Lepisosteus oculatus: one gene and its partners. The protein of the gene in region 2 interacts with the protein of the main gene of each other region in a pairwise test. Links are inferred from orthologs where the notes say so. Each region holds a gene or a part of one and is shown on either strand. Other genes may lie near its edges.

Region 1 (7,704 bases), on a different chromosome or scaffold from region 2:
AACAATTCACTCCTTTCCAATGAATCCCTTCAGCCAGCCAAGTGAACCGATTCACTATTCCCCCAGATGAACTGTTCACCCGATTCATGGATTCTTTCGGCTCAGAGGGACGAATCGTGCATTGAGTCAAGCAAGTCCTCACAGGAAACAACGCCATCCTTACCTCGGAGATCCCAGAGAAAGAGGGGAAGAACTTATGAGAAACAATAAGCAACTGTAAATTGTTAAACCCCTTAAAAAAAAAAGCCTGTGTGGATCTGAGGGATGTGAGTGAAGAACGTATTTTGCTTGTAATTTCAGACAGCTGCATTAATTTGATTTTCTGGAAAGTTAGAATAATATTAATAATAAACACTAAAGTACATAGTGCAAGATGAGAAGCGTACATCACTTTATGTTTTAAAAATTAAATAATGTATTCATTATTGTGTCTTCAGTTATGAATGCATATATGCCCTAGAACAGATGGATAACAAAATGCTCTATTTATCAGTTATCAGTTATCCACAGTTAAAGACAGGATATTGCCATGCAGGCATCATTACTGATTGAGCTGTTGAAGAGCTACTCAATTTATAAAAACATCTTGACTAGCTAAACTTGTTGAAGGAAGTTTTCTTTAATTAATTTCACCACTACCACTCTTTCAGTTTCTCTTTCCTTAAACCTGCCCACTTGCCTGTCTCCGCAACTTCAGAAATGCTTTTCCAGAACGACAGTTCTTTAATGGTTACTATTTAGTCCTGGCACGTTTTCTATTTCTCCAGTACTGAGTGACACTTTCCACTAGGAAAAGCAATATCATCGTGACTTACATAACATTCTATTTTTAAGCACTGCTTATCCATAACAACATAAGAACAGTTACAATGCAAGCAGAATGAATGTTGCAGCAGAATACTTTGTGAGGAGCTTTATTTGAAATGATAAAATGCAGGTTAGGACCTGTGTCTGAATATTTTGCAGAGTTAAAAACAAAACAGTGCTGTGCATCTTACTTTCCACCCAGCTGATGTTCTTTAAGGCAAAGTTCAACATAACTTTTGTGTAATAAAACAATTCTAGAGGCCTTTTTCACACAAGAACAACACATGGTCCTGTTGCTGCAAGCCTACATGGGCTAATATTCCAAAATTTAGCCAGATCAGTTTCATTTATGACAATGGACAGCTTGCAATCAAGCAAAACAATACTTTGAAATCACTTCTTGCTGTTTTGTCAAAATCGGTTCCATCTCTGTGATCCTAACAGGCCACTAAAGGGCTTGTAGTTACAGGTAATGCGTCACTATGTAGTGTTGTTCATACAACTCTGTAATCTGTGCTCTCCACATACACCAGGAACATCCATCTATCCATCATCAGAAAAGCACATATTTGTGGTAAGAGACTTCACCCTGGATAGGATGTATGTTCATCACAACGTATGCCCAGACACACAGGCACAAATTACAGACACCAACTAACGAAGCCAGTACGTCTTTGGAGGGCATGTGGAGCTGTGGAGCGCCCTTCATGGAAACATGGGGAGACTTTACACAGACTGGCACTGAACTCAGGGCCCGGGAACCACAGGGCACCCATACTAACCACCATGGCGCCCCATCAAAAGTAATATTCCAAACAGAAATAAGACAAAAACCTGATTTCCATCGAAACCTTACAAGCTGAAACATTCTCTCGACACAAGTCAATTTATCTTCTGCTCTTAATCATTTCCTGTGGTTGCACATGGCACAGACTTAAGGAGCGACAGTGCTGAGAATCAAGGAGCAGGACCCAGAAGGTGTGTTGATGGAAAACATCTGCTGTGTGTGTGTGTGTGTGGGTGGACAAGGACCACGTATCACCCTCAATCTGGGACAAAATATGAGAAATTGCCCCGGCACAGGTGGACACTCCTGACACACCACACGTGAAAGTCCACAAAATGAAAATGAATGTATTTTTTGCAAATCAAATGCCATCTTCCTTAAACCAAAAGGCAGTAAGACCACTTCATTCAGATCTACGTTTACCATGTGTATAGCTGCATTTCCACGCTGGAAAGAACAGAAAAAGGGAGCAAAACCTGTCTTCTCCAGCATCTAAACTATGCTCCACCCAGCCTTCTTCAAATGTACAGGATATTCTAAAAATCTGTATCCACTCAATATGTCCGTGTGTGATTGTAAGTACACGCTGAATATTACTGATCTATCAGCGCCATAATGGGGAATAAAATGTTTTTTAATTGCTTTCAAAACAAATCAGGAAATACAATTTTGGAGGGCTTTGAGCAATAACTGAAAAACAAATATACAGAACACACCAGTAGCAGGAGTAAAAAAAATATTTCAAAATTCAGGTGGTTCTGAGATATAATTTACACAGCAGGTTAATCTATTGTAGGAGGCCTGAAATTGAGTGTCACGAACTTGCAGTTCTTCACTTCATATATTACAGAACGTGATATTTGATATTTGCTTTTGACACGATCATTACAAAAAAAAATCTATTTAAGTTATAAAGCCATCTCAACACCACTGGAGATAATTTAATAAAAGCTTGCTTAATGAAAGTCACCCCTGCAAGAAACGTAGTATCTTAAAATAATCATCACTGTAAATGTGCCATCGACTAATAATGATGAAACGACGACTCAACTGGTAGGATATACCAGAAATACAGTAGTTTGCTTTGCTACTAAGCGTACACTGTGGCTTGTCAAAAATGTGTTCACGATTCGTCTTTGCTAAGCGTTTTAAAAACGAAAAAGTGTCTTAGAGCAACCGCAGGTCTGTAGAGACCTGATCAATCAAGACATACCAATCTGACTTTGCAACCAAAAACGTCCATCGTAGCCGACGTGCAAAAGTCGTTTACACACCAAAATCTCACTTGCCTGGCATGACCAAAAGCATGTAAATTCGCTTGCTTTTGCAAAATTATATCACCCTAACAAATAAAAAAAATATCTGAAGGAATACCAACCATATATGGTTGCAAATGGAGTTCAGCAACATTCGTATAAAATACAAAACAAGCGGAAAAATATTTTCAGGAGCAACAGCGGAAATACTCCATTTTATTTGACAGCAATGCCTATCGAGTAAATAATAATAATATGAAGACACAGGTTTCACAAAATAAAATTAACAGCAGGCGATCACTGGGGAAGATCGCCTACACGGAGACTTTTGAAGTAGGCCCCGGCGCTCCAGTGCACTTAGCAATGAACAGAGACATTAAAATGTCTATCGTAAGGTTACTGGTACAAACAGAAACACAATGTTAAAATGCATACATGCATTCTGCATAGAAGGCGGGGAGGGGGGGGGGACAATATTTCTACGGAAAATGACTATCGCTCGGACCCCCGTCTCCAGCCCGACTCCGGCAGCACAATACCAGCAGCGTCAGTTCGGTTTATATTACCGTGTGAATGATGAATTCTCGTGTTGTTTGTTAGGGATTCCGATAATGGCGTCCTTCCTCGCGAGAGGAAAAAAAAAAAAGAGCCCAGGCCGGCTCCTGCGCGCTCCGCTCCCCTCGCGCTGCCTGCTCTGCGGCGGCGCAGTGGCTCGGGCGCTCTGCGGGGAGGGGGCGGGGCCGGCGGGTGTAGGCGAGCCGGTCCGTTTCGGGCGCCTTCCGTTTGCTTCCTGTGTGGCTACAACAACAACAACGACACCTTTCCACGAAAAAAAAAAAAGGGGGCCCTGTTAACTTCTCTGGTTTTCCGAAACTGCTTCGACTTCGGCGCGGAGCCCTGCAGACGAGCCGCGGAGATAACGAGTGACGTTGAGGTGCTTTGTGGGGGACAAGGACTCGTACCGTGATGCGAGCAAACCGTTGGGATTTTATTTCTGTGTCCATCAGAAGTTCGGGGTTTTGTTCAGGTCCAAGGGCTACTGTTTTAGGCGATGTGGAAGATTGTATGTGTACTGGGGTAGAATCAACTACTGAGTACTTAACGGTATTCCAGGTCTCGTCGTAAGTTCGTATTCCTTTAAAAAAAAAAGACATGCAAAAGCTTATATTGAGGTTATAGTACCTGCAAATCCGTTTACCATTCTGCAACATCATACAGTGGGTATAGAAAGGCACCACCTCCTTTCACAATTTGTACCTTTTGTTGCATGACACTGAAAATAAAAACAAATTAAACGAGGCTTGTTCCATTTTTTTATTTACACACGGTAACCCACATTAGCCAAGCGATAATAAAATTCTAAAGCATTCTAAAAAATTAATTAGTATTACAACAGTAAAATACCTTATTTGGGTAAGTGAACACCCCCTTTACAACTGCATTTGTAAACGTGCTCAGGTATAACCAATCACCTTGCAGATCACACAACAAACGAATTGACTCCCACCTATGATCAATTGTGTGCACATGACAACAATATCACAAGCGCTCCACAAAACTGACCTGTATGGAAGGGTGGCGAGAAAAAAGCCACATAAAAGCACCTTAAAGACACTGTGGCCAAGTGGCAAAAGGTGCTGTGGTCAGCTGAGACCAAAATCAAACCTTTTTGCCAGAATACAAAATGGTATGTCTGGCAAAAACCCAATACATCTTACCACCCAGAGAACACCATTCCTACAGTAAAGCACTGTGGTGCCAGCATCTTGTTGTGGGGGTATATCTCTTCTGCTGGAACAGGGGCACTTCTCAGGATAGAAGGGAAGATGGATGGTGCAAAATACAGGCAAATCCTTGAAGAAAACCTGCAGCCGTCGGCCAGGAAGTTGAAAATGGGAAGATGGTTCACCTTTCAACGTAACAATGACCCACAGCACACCACCAAAGCAACCATACAGTGACTGAAGGACAGGAAGGTGAATGTCCTTGAGTGGTCTAGTCAGAGCCCAGACCTCAATCCCATCGAAAATCTTTGACTTGAAGAGGGCAGTCCATCAAGTCACCACGCAGTTTGAGCTTGAAATATTCTGTGAGGAGGAATGGGCAAATATTCCTCCCTCTAGGTGTGCAAAGTTGGTAGAGGTGTATCCAAACAGACCTCAGGCTGTAACCAAGCAAAAGGTGCTTCCAGGTATGAACTGGCAGGGGATGTCCTCTTATCCAATCCAGTTATTCTATTTTTATTTGCAGAATTTTTTTTTTCACTTGGTTGTTGCTTATCATTTACTCGCTTGCAATTTTTGTGCAATTATTCACGACAAATTCTAGTATTTTGAACAAAAGACTGAAATCTTTTTTTAAAAATTATAGCAACACAGGAGGCCTTGTTTTAGGTGAAATCATTTAACATTTTACAATGAATATATGAATTAGTTAATTCCCTCTGCAGTTTCACACTTGCTTAATTTTATTAGTTTTAACATGTGTTCATGATTTCTTAATTTTCTAACTTTGAAAATGTTTAGGTTTCTGAACCCCGGGCTGAACAGGGTTAGCAATGCAGATCAGACATGAAATCTTGTAAGATCCTACATCCAAACCGTTGATGCTGTTTGAACTTTAAATTCTCCTGCTTCAGTTATTAAGCCTCCCATCGTGAGCATCTGTTTTATAATTCTGTTTGCTGAATGTAAGGTTAATGTTTATGTATGCATGTAATTGCTTTGCTTCTTTGCAAAGGTCACTTGACCTTTGTGATAATTTCTAAGCAGGTCAAAACACAACATTTTGGACTTTCATTTCTTTTTATTGACACTTCTATCTGAACAATTTCTGATCGGGGTCTGCCTGTACAAAAGGGAACTCCTCCACTGGTGTCTGGTTTCTGGATGGCCAGCAGCTGTCTCTGCAGGTGTAAATGAGCACAATCCCAAACTCCACCGTCCAGTCTAGAGGAGCAAGAGAAGAGCCAGTGTCTCAGAGACAAAGGTGTTTGCAATGGCTGACCACAGGAGAATAGAAGGATTGGCTATGAAATTCAAACCATACAAGCTGCCTTTAACAATGAACAAGTTCTGTAATTTCTCTACACTACTTTTCACTGAGGTCTGTGCTTTTGCTTGATATTCATCAGGAATAACACCACCCGAGCATTAAGTGTGTTGAAAAAATACAGAGTGCTAGTCACAGTAAATTTGGCCTAACCCGCCTGGCTGAGAGACAGAGAGCCCCCCATGTAGAGAGGAGGTGTGAACTTAGAAGCAGCTGCGAATGTAGAAATGGGGTAAAAGGATGTAAAAAGACTAATGCAAATGAGAGAAGGGACTTAGGTATAATTATTCCAGTTTTTTTAACTTGAGGAAATTACATCAGGATTAAGATTTAGGCTAATTGAAGTTGGCTGCTGTCACCCCTCCTGAATTTTCATTGGAAACTTGCATGTTATGCATCTTTTTCTACCCAAGCAATGAAATCCTGCTTGCCAATTTGGATAAAGATTTCCTTCTTAATCCGACACCCACCGTCTTCATTGGCGCCGCGGAGCATGCTGACCAGCGCGGGCATGAGCTGAAACTCGAAGATTCTGGGGCTCCCGCAGTGAGCGCAGGGGGGGACCGTCTTCTGCATGTGGGAGGGAGGGCAGGTAATGAACACGGGCTGCCCATTCCAACAATACCTGCAAAACAGGACAGCTGTGGTTGATAAAGACAAACGGGCAAGGATCCTTATTACTCTGTCCCCACCCACTACTGCCCTGTGCTTTGTAATTTTACAGGCCTGACATTTCCAGGAAAACTACTTCCCGTATAATTATTATTTGGCAGATGCCTGAGAGAAGTACCTTTGCTCTGGAATCTTGGGAGTCCACAGTCAAACAGCTTTGAAAGTGACTCATGGGTGTAAGTGCTTCCTACCGTAATTCATTTACTGGCAAGCGCTTTTGCTTAAAAAATCTAAATTAATGTAATTCTCTGAAAGTGAAGGTGCCCTATTGAAAACTACAATTTTTTACCCTACGCCTCTATAGTTCTTCTGACAATTAAGTGTTAAGTTGTGCACTAATCCAAAGCTGAAAATACTAAAATATACATACTGTTCACATACATCTTCTTGCCAGTCATTTGTATGTTTTGTGACTGGAAAATAGTGCTGCACTTCGCAGGATTATGGAATTCATGACATCCAGTGAAAATTAAGTGATGTTTGCATTGATTCATGGAATAATGGTGGATGTGCATGATGCAGTGAAGTTAGCCATCAACACTGCCAAAACCTCTCTGATCTGAGGTTGTATTTTCATTTGTCTGTAAAAGTGTGAATGCGGGAAAAGTCTCTTTACCTTAACACCTGCCCTGGACACAGCGAGATCGTCTTCATGAACCTGAAGAACTCCTTGTCCCCATGCCTGGCTTTAGTTTTCTCGTATTTTTCTACCTCCCCTCCAGCATCACAGCTGAAATGACGACATGAAAACACGGTTTCAACTTCGGTACTTAATGGTATTTTTTAAGACTTATATTATCAGCTGCAGTTAACAGTGTGAGAAAGGAATCAATGTGACTTTTTAAATGGATATTTGCAGTGGAATCTTAATCTGTTCAGAAGTTTTTCATTTATGTTTATTTCTGTACTTTTTGGGAAGAGAGATTGTTTATAAATGTCAGGTCAGGTCAAGCGCTTTGACCCTTTTCCCATCTTACAATTAGACAGCAACATTATTACCGTGTAGGCAGATCTCAAAAGCAGAGCAACACTGAGATTGGCCAGCAGGGGGAAAAGATATCTCATGTATTAGGAAAACCAAGTTGATGCTGTAAATGACATATTGACATATCAGAAATGTGAGTTCTTCCC
Region 2 (8,338 bases):
TGAGGACTTCCCGGGAAACTGGGAGAGGCCCTGGGAGGCCTTGCTGTCGGGAGCTGGGGCCTCCGTGCTGCTGCAGGAGCTCCCGAGCCCAGCAGGCAGAGCTCCTTGCGGCAGCTGCTCTGGTCTCCCGGCCTCTTTGCCCTGGAGGACTGCCCGGAGGAACACCTCTATGCTCTTCCTCTTCCTCTCCACAGAGCCCACTCCCTCGGCGGCGGGCTCGGGGTGCGTCCAGCGTGCTCGCTGTGCGTCCCGGCTGCCCGCTGGGGGTGCCGGCTCTGCCGTCGCGCTCGGAAGCTCCCGCGGCGCCGGCGGGACCAAGTCAGCGGGCTCCGGGGCCCTGCGTTCCAGAGGGATGGAGCAGCCATTAGAAGAGGGGATAAAAAAACCGGCACAGCTGTAAATATTGGTCATCAGACAAAAAAAAGGCAGAAGAAAACATAACAGTTTATCTGTCTGTACAAAATAAATGATCAAATTAAGTTTTCATCCCAGTGGCAGAAAATATCCCTTAGAATGAGTTTGAAACAACTTCTTGTTAGTTACACATTGTGTTTGAGCTGTGGAGCTCTCCAGCTGATGCGCTGGCACAGTCACGTGGGCACAGTTACCTGAGAGGTGGCATTCCCTGAGCAGCCAGGGGACAGATGGCACTGTTTGTGTGGGAGATTAGGGGCCTGAGCTTCAGCAGGCGAGACAAGAAACAACAGAAAAGCACCCGCAAGCAGGCTCGATGACAACACACGCGCACACCTGAACGACAGGCTCGGAGCGAGCTGGCCAGTTTTTTTTTCCCTGCAGATCTGTGATACACTGTAATAATGGAATTTGAAGAAGACAATTCTGAAAAAGAGATAGTTTTTCAAAAAACGTACGAGTTGCCCTTTCTACAGAAAATTTCAAGCAGTATGAAAAGGATTTAGAAACGATTTAAACTCCAGCTGTTGTTATCAATAATTACTGTACATAAAGCAAAACAACGGCTGTAATAAGTGATTCAGTTTGGTGTTAGTTCACCAGACTTTTTTTTACAGTTTATCTTGAATGCTGGAAGTCCTGTGTTGTGTCCATTCCTTGTAGGCATCTGCAATGCCTGATGTGAGTCCGGCGTCCACTCTCAGGTGTACATTTCAGAACAACTGACTTTCTAATTACTATAGTTATGATACAGTAGCTCATATTTTCCAGTGACTGTGAATTAGTATCTATGAGCTTTCCAAGTTAATGTCTTTCCACAGATCTCTTATGATCTGTAGCGTTTCTCTTCAGTCCCTTGATTCTGAATGATGTGCTCCTTTCTCAGCACAGGAACATGCGAGTGCAGCCTTGGCACCACTGAGGAAAGGAAGAAACGGAGCTCTAGCAACTTTGTAAGAAGGGGGAAAGGTAAGAAAAATGGTCACGTTGTGCTCCAACGTTTGACTGGTGCCGGTGCTTCGCCGTTTGTGCTTCTACTGTACTGCAGGCGAACCCTTAGCTTGAACTTTTTTTTTTTCCTTAGCTTGAACTGAGCTCGCCGCTGGAAGGAGGGGCTTTTTTCCCGTTTCAGGCACGACGGCTCATGAATGAATTTGCAATCAATTATTAAAAAATAAAATAAAAGTTGTACACAGGGTTTAAAGGATGACCCTTACTCAATCACAAGGTTTGAGCCTTGACCGCCTTATTTTTTTATTCTCAAATTAAAACCTCACGTGCGGCATAAAAGCTTGGCCCTCTCTCCAGAAATCCAACCTTGAATCTACTGTGACCCCGCAGTAACGCGCCGAGAAGGCCGTACTTGGACACACGCTCCCGACCCTGCTGGCCGGCCGAGTTCACGGCCACAGGTGCCGGCCCGGCGCTGTTGGCGGCGCTAGACTCAGTCCGGCTGACGGGTACCTGTCTGCAGCGGTAGGCCGTGCCGATGAGCCGGCCGTCGCCACCTGAACCCTCTTCCATATTTCATAGCAGACTTTATCCAAGTCGTCTTCGGGCGCTTTGTCGTGTATCCACACAGATCGAGGGAAGGGACCCGCCGCGTAGGCCCTCTTCAGCTGGCGCTTGGTTTTAACGCGATCCACTCTCGGGAACATTTTCCTGAAAACTCGAGTGTCTTTAGTGAAGCTGGTTTGGGCTGCTGACCACCCTGAAGACCCGACCACACCAATGGAATGTTTGGGTTTAATTCTTCGATCTGTGATTTATAAATAATAACAACAATAAAGGAAACCATAGCAACAAGTGTATTAGAAGTTTGAGCGACAACAGGTTACAGTACGTGCAAGTGCGCGTGTACTACAGTATGTACAGCCGGTATATTTAAACACAACAATCTGGATGGATAGGAATGAATATAACACGGGAATTCAAAAGCGACAAAGAAAAATATCTTAGAGGGATAAAGCCCAACGAGGCAGAACGAGCGCAACATTCGCAGAGAAGGGGCAGTGAACGAACTCGAAAAGGGTATTCAAAATAATTGACTTCAGAACAATACTTTCTTTCCAGCTCCCGAAACAGACCCGGTTACAACCTTTGTGCGGCGATAAATTCGGACAGCAAGTGGAAGCTTTAGAAATGGCGAGGAGCCGTTTAAACATAGTTTTAAACAATGAATAATACGCTCACAGGCGTCACAGAGCTGCTCGCCCTGTACCTACAGCATGAGCGCAGAAAGCGCAAGCGGAGGGCGCATGAGGCTCTAGATGGCGGCAGGGAGAAACCTGTCAGCTCTCTGTCGTGGGAGGTCTGGAGCGGGCAGTGCCAGGGGAAGACAAAGTCCCGAGAGGAGACGAGAAGAAACAATTAAATGACTTGTTAATGCCACACTGGCGTTGCCCGGGCACTTTAGGCATTATTTAGCATAATTTGTGAGTATGAATTCTTGACTCTGCACGTAGACACTATTTGAATATTATGTTTAAAGACAGACACATTTCATTAACCGGATGACTTTATCGTCAGGGGTGTAAGGAAACTAATTACCTGTTACGGCGAAGAAATGCAAATGACACTGAAATTCACTGGCGTGTGTTCGGCGTCAATTGTAGAGGCTGTCTGGCCTTGAAGAGCGGAAAACTGTTTCACAGATCATTTTAAACGCACTTAACTGTTCATTTAACCAAATATATCAGTATTACAAATGAATAGCATTGCATTATTGTGATCTATACTACCACGTCTATCCAAAGTGACAACTGTAGTATTTCCGACAGGAAACTGGGGTGTGACCGGTGATGGGAGCTGTAGGGGCTGGTTCAGCACCGTAGTTAAACCGCTGCTGCGCTTTGGCACGATTCCTCTCGGCCGACTTTGGTGGAGCCAGCGGAGATACCCCGATAGTGCAGCTGGGGTGCCAGACCAGCAGCAGGAGCGAGCAGGGTCCCCAAATGCTCGGAGTCAAAGGACTTTGATTATCTATCGGGTGCAAAACAGATGAACTCTCGAGTCCTTGTTACTCCCCGGAGGCAGCGGCGAGTGCAGCTGAAGCACATTCTACTGCTCTCCGCAGAAAATCGAAAATCCTACCTCCTGCCCGTCCGGCGGTTTGGGGGCGTGATGTACGGTACATGCTAGACGTGGGCATTTTCTGAGTGCTACCGTTAAAATGTACAGTATATATGCATTGTGTAATGTATATCCGATAAAGCTTTCTCACTCCATAAGCAATACGTACGATGTCAGCTAAATACGTTTTGTGATTCAGTGGCTTACAGTGTGACCTCACTGCTTAATCATCTTTACACATTTAATTATTATTTTTTTTCATCTTTAGCTACTGGGTCCCGCTGTTTTGAATAAATGTACTGCATTTTGAGGAGCAGAGAGTATTAACCTTATAGTTCCCTTTGTTCTCCTTGTTAAATATTAATTGCTTTAAAAACTTTGTTGTACTAAAAAAAAAAACGTGAGCGTGTTTTCAAATTATTTCCACTTTGCTCTTGCTCCGAGGTCAGTGAATAATTCAGAGTATGATAAATGATTCAAGTACAAAGCAATAATGTTCACTCTAAATTGTAAACCACTGTAAACGCGTTCACATTGTAATGCGTCTGTGTATTCTGACAACACGGTCATTTGTGTTCCAATGAAAAAATAAATGCCGACTAAAATACTGCAAGTTTCATGCACTGCTTACAGTATTTAGTGTTATCAGATATCCAGGACGATACTCAGGTTTTAGATGATGGTTTCGTGTTCTTGTCAGAAACCGTCAAATATTAATAAAAGATATTGCCCTGTAATTTAATTAATACATTTCAGTTCTACACACGTAAGGCGAACACAATGGTTAGATAGTGCCAATACAGGACGTGGCCAGGTGTTTTTCATACTGTATATGGGCTTTTACCTGCGAGGAAAAGTGAAAGTATAATTGTGGATCCCTCAGAAACCGGTATACGTAATGGACTCAAACTGATACCTTCAATCGTTTTCGTGTACTGTGCACAAGAGCAGTCTGGGTTTTAACACATTCTTTTGTCTTTTTGAGTGGTGTATATACTGTATATACAGTATATATAAAAAAAACACCCGTGAAGGTTCAGAGTGAGATCAGTAACGGGCTCAGCGGCGCTGCACGCCGGCAGGTGGGGGCGTCTCGGCCCGCGGGCTCGGGCCCTGGGGACCCCCCTGTGTAACGCATTCCGTGGTCAGCCGTTCATTTAAAACGTATGATTATCAATCTCAAAAGTATCATGTGAACGAGCAGAGCGCCAGGACACGAAGCCTTATGATAGGCTAAGCACGATCACCAATAAGGCGGGTTATACTCGAAGGAGAGAGAGGGAGAACGCGAGAGGGGAGAAGCCGCACTCCGCAGTCTCCGCGCTCAACAGCAGCGTCGATAAAACGTGAAATACGGTAATCACGAACGGCCAGGAGAAGCTGGAAAAGAAACGAACCATTGTTCCGCTGAGAGACAATCCCAAGATGTGTGAGAAGAGGAAAACTTTACTGTCGATAAAAGGCATCGGTTTTCCTTCACAGTTGCGTCTGATCAGCGCTTAATTGGCAGCAGCGTTATAATTCCACACCGGAGTGAGACCGGGGATATGAACAGTAGCGATTATCCTATTCGTTCATCTAATACATCAAAATAAGAATACTGTCCATCTTCGAAGGAAGAGCAGAGCGGAAGGCGGGTTAACCCTACCTAAAACACAAAATAGAAAACCCGGATTTCCAGAAGGGAGGAGTACATATGAGCCTTGATCTCGGCTAGATAAGTCTTTCTTGTCTTTTTCTTGGTTTTTTTTTTTTTGGGGGGGGGGGGGGGATCTTTTGGCTTGAGATTTCCCAACCCCGGGATCTGCAGGAGATGGTTCATTCCAGCTGCAGGAGCGGAGCCTCAATGCACTGGGATTTTTCTCAGCGCCGATACAAAGTGAATCTTCCCTTTCAAACCATCTGATAGCGTCGCTGCCAGATTTCTGCCATGAGAGCCTCTTTGAATTCGGAGGGAAGAGGACTGGTAAGGACTGCGTGTAGATGCTCTTACAGCGGCCCGAGGAAACTGGACAGACTGGGGATTTTTGCGCTAATGAGGGTGGAAGTGCCGGTACACTACTGGAGCCGGGTTCTCTTCTTGTACATGGGATTGCTGGCTTCTTCTGCGAAGGGTAAGTTGCCCATTTCACGTTTCCGCCAGCGGGAGAAGTCAGGAGCAGTACCCTGTGCGACAAGACGGCGTTTTTGTACTGTACGCTTGTTGGTTAGCGATGGCTGTTATTTACTGTCAATCCATCGTTAAGTTCCTCGGAGATAAATAGATTTGAAACACACCGGACGCATAACGCGGTGCCTCGGACATCCTCCATTATCTGGATACAATAGCTTATGTTCAGCATCCAGCGTGAATTCTCTGGTGAAGGCATGAAACGGGTGTTAAAGGGGAGAGGGGGAGAAAACTTCCGCTGTACTGCGGTTAAAACCCCTTTTCGTTCTTATCTCTTTCCCCGTGTTTCGTGATATTGGCTCGTCGTCCTGCTCGGTCGGTGTAATAAGCATGGCACCCCGTTTACCTGTTTATAGAAGACAGGTGCTTGTGCGCTGAAGGAGCGGTCGTGCACGCTGGACTTGCTGTGTCCTTCGCATGTTGGTCTGTTCTGTCCAAGCCCGATTGTAACCCCCCCCCAACTCCACCCCCTCCGTCCTAAATGTGGTCGGGTTTGTGTAAAAACCTCCTATTCCTCCAATCTCTACAGTACACAGAAGACTGGAAGAATGGCAGAGATTCAGTACTGCGATCTTGCCAAAAATAGTTTTCTGTGTATGAGCGAGAAGAAGGCTAAGATGATGAACTTTTTGTTGTTGCTGCTGTTATGTTAATAATCTACAGTAGTAGTGGGGAAGCGGGTGTGTATAGGAGTTGTGGTGGTGGAATATGTGTATATACAGTATGTGTGAGCTGGAGAACGGAGAAATTTGTCGGCAGATTCTTAATAACGCACTCCAGTTACAGGCAGTGGCTGCTGGAGGCTGAGTTGGGTACACCATTCTGTTTGCCGAAGGAGAGATGGAAGTCCCTCCTTCAATCTCGTGTTGACACGATGGAGTTTATTTTTAAAATTAAATTCCCCAAGAGGCACGCGTCTACCCTGAGTTTTTACAGAGCTTTTTGCCTGATTTTTAATATCAATACTGTGCGCCATAACTTTCCCATGTATCTGTATAAGGAGCGCGGCTGGCGTTGAACAGTCGGGCAAACACTCTCCCGCGGAGAAAAGTCACTCTTTATGTTTACGAGCAGTGATTTACGTCACCTTACAGGCTCGTTATTAATTTATTGTATCGCATCCTTGACGCGAAGGCGCTTGGTGTGAGCGGGACCACGGCCACTCGCCGCGCAGCGCTCGTGATGCACTACGCATCTGTACACAGAGGAACAAGGTCCGTCGTTTTGGATAAAACCACCAGCCAGATACCCTGATGGTGATTAAAGGCTTGATCTGAGATTTGAAACTGCACTTTCATTGGACCACAGTGTTACTTTCCAGCACTTTATTTAATAAACACGTCTTATGTTATTAAATAAAGTGCAGTTATTCAATACTTCGTCAGTCGTTTAACTGTAACAAATACTATATTTGTATTACCGAATTATAGGGAATATACTGTATACAGTAGTTGATAATGGGGAAAAGAGGGCGGCGTGGCGGCTAGCTCCTGACTAGAGCTGGGACTCCTGGACTGTGACTTCTGCGCTGGCAGGTGGGTTGTCTCCGGCTGCTCTGGAGTCCGGAGACCAGCTGGGTGGCTCCACTGGTGCCATGCCTGCAGGTGCCCAGGGTGTGGTCCTGCCTCCTGCCCGTGCCCGGCTCCCACGAGCTTCCGGGTATAAAGAGCTTAAGGAAAAATGGATGAAAGGACAGACATACAGTAGGAAAACATCAAACACTCTTCGTCCGCAAAAAAAAAAAGAAATCACACTTCTTTCTCTTTGATTTGTCAAAAATGCCTCCAGGATTATGATCTGTATATCACCTACTACTGCAAACCCGAAATAAAATAATGAGGATTCCACTTCACACACAGTTACTGTACGTGAATGCGCCTCTCTCAGACGCCGCGGCTCGATGTTCCCTAGTCCTGTTGCTGTTGAAGAAAAACCGGAGAGAGTGGGTGAAATAATAAAAAAAAAGAAATGCGTCGGAGTTAGTTGTAAATGCAAAGAAAGCAAATGCGAGATGTTCCTGTCACGGCAGCGATGGGCGGATGAATGGACTGCCTCCGTGTGAAGCGCTCTGCGTTAAAGCCGGAGCTCGCCGGTTCCTCGGAGCGCGCAGAAGGATGGAGACAGAGACTGCACGTCGTCCACTTATCTGTTCAGAAGAGCATTACTTTCCTTAAACCGATTAATGAGTAAGAGAATTTGAAAGCCGCTTATTAATCAATTTCCACTGCGATTTCAAAAGTATAAATAGCCTTATTGTCTCACAGCATATAGAAGCAGTGTAATTGCGCGTTGCCTTCCTCCGCGATTTTATTTGAATTCGCTCTCGCAAGCAGTAGCCTGCCTCTCCCGTTGTGCGGCACTAAAGCTTCGTTAGAGCCCTTTTCTCAGACGCGAGTGCTGTATTACAGGTGTGAAAATAAAATGAAGCTTAGAACTAAACCTAGTAAACTCGAAACCGATGCAGACGTGTCTTCTGCGCTCCTACAGTTAAAATCACTGAAAATGCTAAGTGGCGTCTCCTGCCGAAAGATCTTGAATGTTCCTTGGAATTTGACAGCTGAATTGATCAGATAGATGCACCAGAGACAGTTACACCCAAACAAACAATCATATGATTGAAAATATAATTTCGTCAAATGGTATAATGTAAAACCAAAGACAAAAGTGCTTTCTTGTAACGTA
Region 3 (8,204 bases), on a different chromosome or scaffold from region 2:
GTGAGGAAAGCGGGCCGTGTGCCTGTCAGAAGCTGTAGCCAGCTCACCTGTGTCTTCCCACTGCCCGGGCCCCCAGCCAGCTCTGTCACCTCCCCTGTGTACAGCCCAGCGTCCAGCAGCACGTCCAGACTGAAACAAGAGGACAGCGCAGCCACAGAAACTTGGTGAAAGATGGGCCGGAGCTGGGACTGTCCAGCGACTGTCTCATAGGGACATAAGAAAGGTAACAAACAACTGGAGACTGTTCAGACTGTGTGATTGTTAGCAGCTATTGTAATTGATTCAAGGATCTCTTCTTAAAAGAAGCCATCGGCTCCAATAGTCCAGTGCATAGCTCAGCTATTACTCAGCAATGTTATTTTTGCGAACTCATAAGCTTATATTCATTTCTTGCTAACTGAATATATATGAGGCAATACCTTATGAAAATTGGGAGTAACAGGCTGTGCTAGATGCCAGGTGACCCCCCCTGGCATTGTCGTCTGGCTGGTATGTAACCTGGGTGAATCCCCTCGCTGTTGAAATTCTCCACTGGGTAAAAGCCGCGGAGAAAGGGCCCAGAAAGAGAAAGGGCCCCTCACCTCTCATTTCCTGTGGACAGGATCGCCATGGAGCTCAGCAGCTCCTCGTAGAGATCAGCTCCCGAGACAGGAAAGCCAGTGTGCTGAGTAAGGAGGACACGGCGTATAGCTACCAGCGCCTAAAACACAAGGGGAAGAGCCATGTAAAATGAGGTTATAAAGCCACATTGATTTTACCACGGACACGTAACACACTTAAAAAAGCAGTGATTAACCATATGTGCAGAATGGCAGTGCAGTAGTTAACATTTGCTCCAGATGTTTTTGCAGTAGGCCTAGGTGCTGTGCAGAGAGAACAACTGGAATGCATCATGCCCAAGAAACATGTGCCTGAAAGTGGGCGCCACTACACATTCGTCCTAGCAAGCTACGACTCGCTGAAAGAGGTTGACGATGTGCCTGACTAGGAAGGCAAATTAGCTCCTAATTAAGGCACTTAATTAGATAAGCAGACGGCCCAGTTGCACAGTGGTTAGCATTGTTCGTGTTCAATTCCTGGGGTGCTATTTGCCTGAGTCTTGTATGTTCTCCCCATGTTTGCGTAGTTTGCGTAGTTTTTGCTGGGTGCTTCGCTTTCCTCCCACAGTTCAAAGACAAGCTGCCAGGTTCACTGGCCCCTGGGAAAACTGGCCCTGGTGTGAGCGTGTGCACAGCTCTGCACAATTAAGCAGCACTGGCGGGAAATAAACCTGTTGGTTATAGGTTTTGAGGAGAAACATGTTTTTTCCTACCTTGTAGGATATGGAGCACTTCTGAGCAAGTTCCTCAAGTTCTGATGAGACCAGGTCTTCCACTGAATGTAAATTGTGTCAACTTAGATTCGGTTGCTAATACATATTCAAAATAAATATACTCTGTTGACTGATCCCCAAGACTATTTTAAAAAGCTTTTATCGGTCTGGACATATACAATGCATGTTTTGGTTGTTTGTGGGAGTCACAAAGATCTACCTGCTCCACTAGTATAGCTAGCACAGATACCTTAATATCAAAATGTGCTTTTTACAAGTGTAGGATCTACTTTTTCATTGCAGTATAAAATGTTTTTAAGGTTTATTAAACACGAAACAATACAAAGGAGAAAAGGCGGCCAAAAAGATCAAACAAAAAAATACAATGATACAGATAATAACAAATCTGAACACAATAAGTTAATATTTTTACATACATCAGTTGTGTTTTTTTCCTGGTTATATTCCAGGTTTTTAATGGAATTTAAACTCAATGTTGCATTTTCACCTTATAATCATTAAAGGAAGGAATATAATTATATAATTATACATATATATATATATTTGTGTATGTGATATTTACCCATTATGAATAACAGATTAATTATAAATAAAAGTTCCTTTCCATGATACTGTACATCTTGCAAAGGACAGTATAACATAACATCAGTTAAAATGTTCCTGGCAATACTGTCTCAGTGCCCAGCCATGTGATCAATATCCTGACCTGTCCTGATCTCTTGGGTCCGCAGTGCCTGTATCACTTCTTCAGTCAAGCCGGGACACAGGCCCTCTCTGAGGAAGACCATGGCTCCTGGCAGCTGTGCATGAGTTAGAACCATTAAAAAGATTAATTTGTACAAATCATTAAATAGATGACACATTGCATCCACTGCAAGTTCAGAGCTGTTCCATAATATGGTTTATAAAGTGAAGCGTAAAAAAACACAGTACCATTAGGTTATCAAACTGTGGATATTTTTGTTAATGAAAAATCATGGTAATATTAGTACTCTTTTCAGCGAGGTTCTTGAAAAGAGAATCGACATCAGGCTAGATGCAGAACCAGATTCACAGCGCTGGTAGTTTCAAACTTCCCATGTGCCACAGGCGGAGAGGGGAATGCTTTCTGAAATGCAGGCTCGTACTACTGTACCGTGAATATAAACTCGTAACTTTAAATTGTCTAAAGCTGTTTGCAGAGTGGGTCAAGGGATGTTGTTTTGCGAAGCACAAAAGATTGAACGTGGTCTGTCTGCTATCCTTACCAACTGGGCAACGTCCGGCTTCGCGCTTCACCCTCTAGCAGAGAAAAGAGAGTTTCCCTCCCAGAAGAATTCAGGTTTTAATGGCAGTTTAGTGTGCTAATGCCTTTAGCGCTTTAATTCCCTGTGTCGATGTCAGTACCAGTTAAGTCGACATGCCCTCCTAAGCGTTTCTCCTGTTTGAAAGTGAGAGTTTGACGTCATCCCGGAAAGAAAAACTCCGTAAACAAGAGGGGCGTGTGTAATCGACTAAAGCGGCGCGGGTTTGGCGTAGCGGTGCGGGGGACGACGACAAGGGACGATTCCTACGTAGAGTCCGCAGGGGCGTTTCGCGAATAGGGCCGGAGATGGCGTACGCCTGCGCAGTGGCGACGAAGCCGTCAGCTCGGTAAATAGAGGCAAGGCTCGGCAGGCAGTAGGTGCGAGAAGAGTAAAAACAACATCCTTGAGTATTAAAGGAAAGTGAACTGGGAACCGAGGCTGGCAGGGACGGGCAGATAATGGGACAGGAGGCAAGCGGCCCTTCCAGTGCTATAAGCTCCGACTGTCCCGTGAGGCCGAAATTTACTCTCCGGATCTAATATCGACTCGCAAGCCGCGGCTCACAAGGAAAGAAAAATGGTGAGTAATTGTCTTCATGGCAAATCAGCAATCCGCCTCCGACAGGTATTTGAGGTTGCGAGCTGTTCGCTTTGAAACGCGCTGCTCGAATAAGCCCACCAATTGGGAGGGGGGGGGGGGGGGACTTTTTTTTCCCTCCCCTCCCCACGGTTGTTGAAACGCATTAAAGGAGTAAATAAGGCCGGGCTGCTGCGTGTTCGCCAGCAAGCTGGCTGGAAGTGCAGGATGTTGTAGATAATAAATATGACGTATTTCACTGATGCACAAATAAAAACAACTGACTGTGGCGCTTTACAAATACCCGTCATAATGCCCGTCGTCGTAAATTGATCGAGAAACTTCATGGATAAACTGATATCGTGTTGTTGTTGTTGTTGTTGTTTTTTGGTGGCGTCGCACTCCCTCGAAAACAACCCCTAAGCGTGACATTCACATACGTGCTCATTCCTCACAGAGGAAGAAAACCATACGTGTCTTCACTGGGGTCTCCGTCTGTGTATTGACGTGTTAATGGTGATGTGCGCAGTGGTTTGACTGTGCTCACTTTTGTCTTGAGCTTTAACGTTGTTGACAGCATTGGTTGCGTCAGGGTCGCACCTTGCCGGTGTACATGAGCAGAGGTTTTTTAGATCACCTAGGATTTAAATGCAGGCAGGTACGCCACAGTTAGTGAGCAGCCTGGCCATTTTGTAGTTGTGCCTTTGTAAACGGTAGTTATCGTCAGCTGTCGGGAGACCTTTTGACCAGGTGGCGCTCAGAGGAAGTTACTGCGAGATCTGCGTGGTTTGTTTTTAGTAAACGTGGGGGGGAAATGTATTATTTAGCTTTGAATTGTCATTAGGAAGAAAATATCGCAAGACAGACTAAAAGGCAAGTCCACGGGTGTTATGACAGTTGACTTTTAATTACAGGCTCTTGACAGGAGCCAACACATCGGTGTCAGTCTTTTTTATTTACTGTGAACGAAAGACACGCGTGGAAGTTTGCACTCAGTGCCTAGTGTGTGGAAATAATGACTGTGAACGAAGGATTTTGTATTTTTTTTTTAATACAAAGCTATTTCTGTTAAAATCTTTGGCCCTCCGGTGTTGCAGTGCAAGACGGAATGACCTGTAATCTAGGAAGTACGACTGCCTGCTATTGTGTTTTACAGGTGTTATTGGGCATTTGTTTTATTGTGATGGCAGTCTTTCTTCTGTAATGCCTATACCCATTTTTTCTATTTTTCAAGGGTTCTTTTATTTCTCTATATAAAGATGTGTGGACCCGTGTCTTCATGTTCTTGCTAGTTTTAGTTGTTCTCTATTTCCTTCGTCTAGCGTACCTTTCTGCTGTAGCTTTGCCACTGTACTGACCAGACAGCTCTGCAGGGCGGTTCAGTTGCTGTTGCAGGTGAAAGCTTTCTTTTTCAAAGAATGCATTCTGTGGCTGCTTAATTGTTTTGTTTTTTTTAGCATTGTTTCCTCAGCATTTGCTTACAAATGCTTAGGAACGTCTATTAGTCTAAAGCCATCCTCCATTTGCAGAGATATGTATTCTGTTAAGAGTTAAAATAGTCTCTTCAGTACCAGATTAAGAGTCAACTTCCACTGGACAGAAAATCTGACATTTAAAGCTTCTGTGGTTTCTTCAATGTCCACCACACACTTGTATGTTCAGTCATGTAGGTGCATTTCCTTTCCTTTGAAAAGTGTTTTTTTCTTCAGCAGAGCAGGCCCCTTAAGTAAATGTTTGTGCAGTGGAGCTCTGTAGGTCTTCAGTGAATTTTGTCACCATCCAGTATATCTTAACAGTAAATAGTTCATTTTAGTTGGTCCAGTCAGTTTACAATAGACAATAGTCAAAGAAGCTCTCATGTAATAACATGTAAATTAAGTGCAAATTCTGAATTTTGTGGAATCTGTCCTTGTAGGCAGTAAAGGAACAGGTTTCATTGCATGGCGAAAGGTAAAGAAATGAAGCACAAGGTTTCGACTGAGGAGCCTTCATCAGGTGTAACAGAGAGAGAGGGGAACTAGCAGATAAATAAGGCAGAGAAGAAAAGACAGAGTAGTTAAGTAGGGGCGGTTGTGAAGCAGGTGAGAACGAGTGTCCAAACTCAGTGAGAACAGGAGGAGAGGTGTGAAAAACCGAACTCTGCAAATGAATTGAGAAGGAGATGAGTCTGTTGTTAAGAAAAGGGGAAGAAGTGGTCCATGTTTCTGGATCATTTGGGTTTCAGATGTCGTTGTGCAATACGAGTTCCGAAACCCCTCTGTGAGGATGCAGATAGAGCGCGGCCATTAGTGATAAAATTGGGAGCTATCGGGTTGGAAAGATCTTTGATCCTCACAAGCAGCAGTTTATTTTGCTGCTTTGCTTTGGTGAGCACTGGTGTGAACTGACTGTCTTTGTGTTTGCAGGTGTATTTGACAGGAGCAATGCTCAGCATCAATCCCCTGGAGAATCTGAAGACCTACATCAGTAGCCGGCCTCCACTGGTCATTTTTATGGTCAGTGTAAGTGCTGTGGCCATTGCCTTCCTCACTATCGGCTACTTCTTCAAAATTAAGGAGATCAAATCCCCAGAGATGACTGAGGTGGGAGGATTCCCCGTTGCTTCTTCAGTAAAACATTCATTGGCATATTTAGCAATAAATGATTCACTGTCAGTTTTATTTTAATTGGTTGCATACTCTTGTCTAAGTTCACTTGTTACTGAGCTCCTCTTGCTAAAGGTAGATGCTAGACATCTTTTCAGATGAAATAAAAGGATGTAAAAGTGGTTTGCAGGGATTCTCACTGGTTCTTTTGGCATGGGCCTGTGCCTGGGAGGACAGAACAGGGCCCAGAGCTGGGAGATTGCCAGATCAGACCCAGGCAGCGCCACTTGTACTAGCACATTCTGGCTCAAGTAATGGATTTTTTTTTTTTCTCCTTTGGAATTCACAGAATTCTTGACGACAATCTTAAAGAGCTTTCAAGCTGAAAGTGTCAAAAAAAGGTTACAAAACCACGTTACCTCACTGATGTGATGCACACTCAAGAAACCGGCTGCAGAGTGATTTCTGTAACTAATCAGCCCCCAGATTGGCCCTTCTAGTTTTTGTTTTTCAGAACGTTAACATTTGAACCTTGGAAGTTATCAGTTATCATCCAACATTTGACAGATCCACTATACACGAATTATTCTGAGCTTTAAAAGATACATAACCTTTGAAAAAAAATGCAAAGCACTACCAGCTTTTTGTCGTTGGTGCACTTCCAGTTTGATATAGGCAAATTTGCTATGCTTATTAACGTTTGTCATTAACATAGCGGGAAGCTCGTGGAGCAGGGGTTAACATTGTTTCCTTACAGCGTTGGGGCCCTTAGTTCAATTCCTGGGGTGTTATTTCTGTGGAGTTTGTGTGAAAATAGGCCCTGGTATGAGTATGCGTGTTTGTGTCTGGGTGTGCCCTGTGATAGACTGGCGTCCCATCCAGGGTGTATCCTGCCTTGTCCCTGTTGCTTGCCAGGATAGGCTCCAGCTCCACCGCAAACATGAATTGGATGAAGTGGTTAGGACATGGATGCATGGATTAACACATGGTGTACTCTGAAATCCACAGGCTAGTAGTATGACCACAGTCAGAAGCAATACAAGCTTGTATGTCTGTCTTGCATGTTTTGCACTATGTTGCATATACTGTCTTGTGGGATTCTGCTTCATTCCTCTTACAGCCTTAAGAACATGCCTGTTGATTGCTCTTTGTACCCTTGATGCCACATATTGTCCCAGCTTGTCCACAGATGTTCAGTCGGACTGAAGTCTGGCAAGAAGATATCCACAGCATAACTGTCACATTCTCATCTTCCAATTCTGCTGTCGCTACAAGAGAAGCATGAGAGCGTGCCTTTGTGCTGCTGGCATGTTGTCCCATCAGGGTGAGCCCACAGGATGGGCTTCAAGTGAGGTTCCCAGTCTTGATCAGTGTAACGATGTCCTGTTAGGTCATCTTCAATCAGCTGTGGCTACCTGGCGTTCCCGATGCGGCGGAATGTGAAAAAGTGACTCAGAGCGTGGAAATGTCAATCTTGGCAGAGTGTTGCGACATCTCGTATAGTTTAACTGCTAGACCTTATTTGGCTGTAACATGTTGCAATGATAGAAATTGCTGGCTTGGAGTATGCCAGTGGTGCTCCTACTTATTCCAACCCCCAGCATTCCAATGGCATAAAGATATTGTTCTCTTGATAAGCCAGGCATGTGGATTGCTTTCTGTATTGATCCAGAATGCTTGAAGTTCAACAGGTTAATTCATTTCATTACATGGCCCCAATCAGCTTTCACTAATGAGGTTGTTAATTGCTTATTCAAAGTCACTCAAGTTAGTCGTGAGTGATCAGTTAATCCAAATGACACTTGATCCATTGATTCAGTATCCAAAATCTGTCTGCTCTATTTTTCGGAAAGCATGCATGCAGAAATTGAGTATTTATTTTGATGCTCCGTATACTTTTTGCTGAGCCGGATTGTTCATTTCCACGAATGTTTAAAACCTTTTATGTGTGTATAGAAAGTGAGACGTTTTAGGAGGAAAAGCATTGATTTAAATTTAAGTTTCAAATGAAAGTAAAAATCAAAACATCATGCCCTTTAAAACTGTGACTTTCATAAAACTGTGAGAGCGTTGTTGAACTGTGATCTGCGTGGATTGAAAAGCAGGCATGCACTAGCATTTATGCCTTTTAAATTTGCAAGGACTGGAACACCTTCCTGCTGCGCTTCAACGAGCTGGATTTCTGTATCTCGGAGAACGAGACCCTGAAGCATGGGCTGAATGAGTCGACTACGCCGGAGAGCACCGTGACCAGCGGCCAGGCCCGGCTCAACACTCAGGCCCCCCCCCTGCTGGAGGACTCGGGTCCCATCAACATCTCTGTCCCCATCACCCTCACGCTTGACCCCCTGCGCCCGTTCGGGGGTTACTCCCGCAACATCACCCATCTCTACGCCACAGTGCTGGGCCAGCAGGTCGGCCTTT

What was found.
Region 1: the proteins of uncharacterized protein C1orf94 (region 2) and banp interact in binary tests that used the Homo sapiens proteins (3 or more experiments, as listed by UniProt). The two-hybrid records come from large-scale screens. The link is inferred for Lepisosteus oculatus from reciprocal best matches to the Homo sapiens genes C1orf94 and BANP.
Region 3: the proteins of uncharacterized protein C1orf94 (region 2) and rad51d interact in binary tests that used the Homo sapiens proteins (3 or more experiments, as listed by UniProt). The two-hybrid records come from large-scale screens. The link is inferred for Lepisosteus oculatus from reciprocal best matches to the Homo sapiens genes C1orf94 and RAD51D.

What each region holds. Positions count from the first base shown.
Region 1 is NC_090715.1:13,364,070-13,371,773, reverse strand, and holds the start of banp (protein BANP), read right to left. Parts: upstream 3,554-7,704; 5' UTR 3,417-3,553; intron 1-3,416. Other genes in the region: pdcd2l (programmed cell death protein 2-like), read right to left, coding at 5,668-5,798, 6,372-6,526, 7,190-7,303. UniProt on the Homo sapiens protein: Controls V(D)J recombination during T-cell development by repressing T-cell receptor (TCR) beta enhancer function. Binds to scaffold/matrix attachment region beta (S/MARbeta), an ATC-rich DNA sequence located upstream of the TCR beta enhancer.
Region 2 is NC_090706.1:1,999,451-2,007,788, reverse strand, and holds the start of uncharacterized protein C1orf94, read right to left. Parts: upstream 3,597-8,338; 5' UTR 3,566-3,596; coding exon 3,508-3,565; exon of another isoform or gene 3,156-3,507; intron 3,042-3,155; exon of another isoform or gene 2,965-3,041; intron 2,850-2,964; exon of another isoform or gene 2,253-2,849; intron 2,174-2,252; coding exon 1,879-2,173; intron 338-1,878; coding exon 1-337. Other genes in the region: csmd2 (CUB and sushi domain-containing protein 2), read left to right, coding at 5,417-5,600.
Region 3 is NC_090721.1:1,695,578-1,703,781, reverse strand, and holds the start of rad51d (DNA repair protein RAD51 homolog 4), read right to left. Parts: upstream 3,554-8,204; 5' UTR 3,500-3,553; intron 3,199-3,499; coding exon of another isoform or gene 3,196-3,198; exon of another isoform or gene 2,941-3,195; intron 2,828-2,940; exon of another isoform or gene 2,581-2,827; intron 2,134-2,580; 5' UTR 2,122-2,133; coding exon 2,040-2,121; intron 1,375-2,039; coding exon 1,313-1,374; intron 701-1,312; coding exon 582-700; intron 130-581; coding exon 48-129; intron 1-47. Other genes in the region: tmem248 (transmembrane protein 248), read left to right, coding at 4,850-4,861, 5,601-5,777, 7,922-8,204. UniProt on the Homo sapiens protein: Involved in the homologous recombination repair (HRR) pathway of double-stranded DNA breaks arising during DNA replication or induced by DNA-damaging agents. Bind to single-stranded DNA (ssDNA) and has DNA-dependent ATPase activity.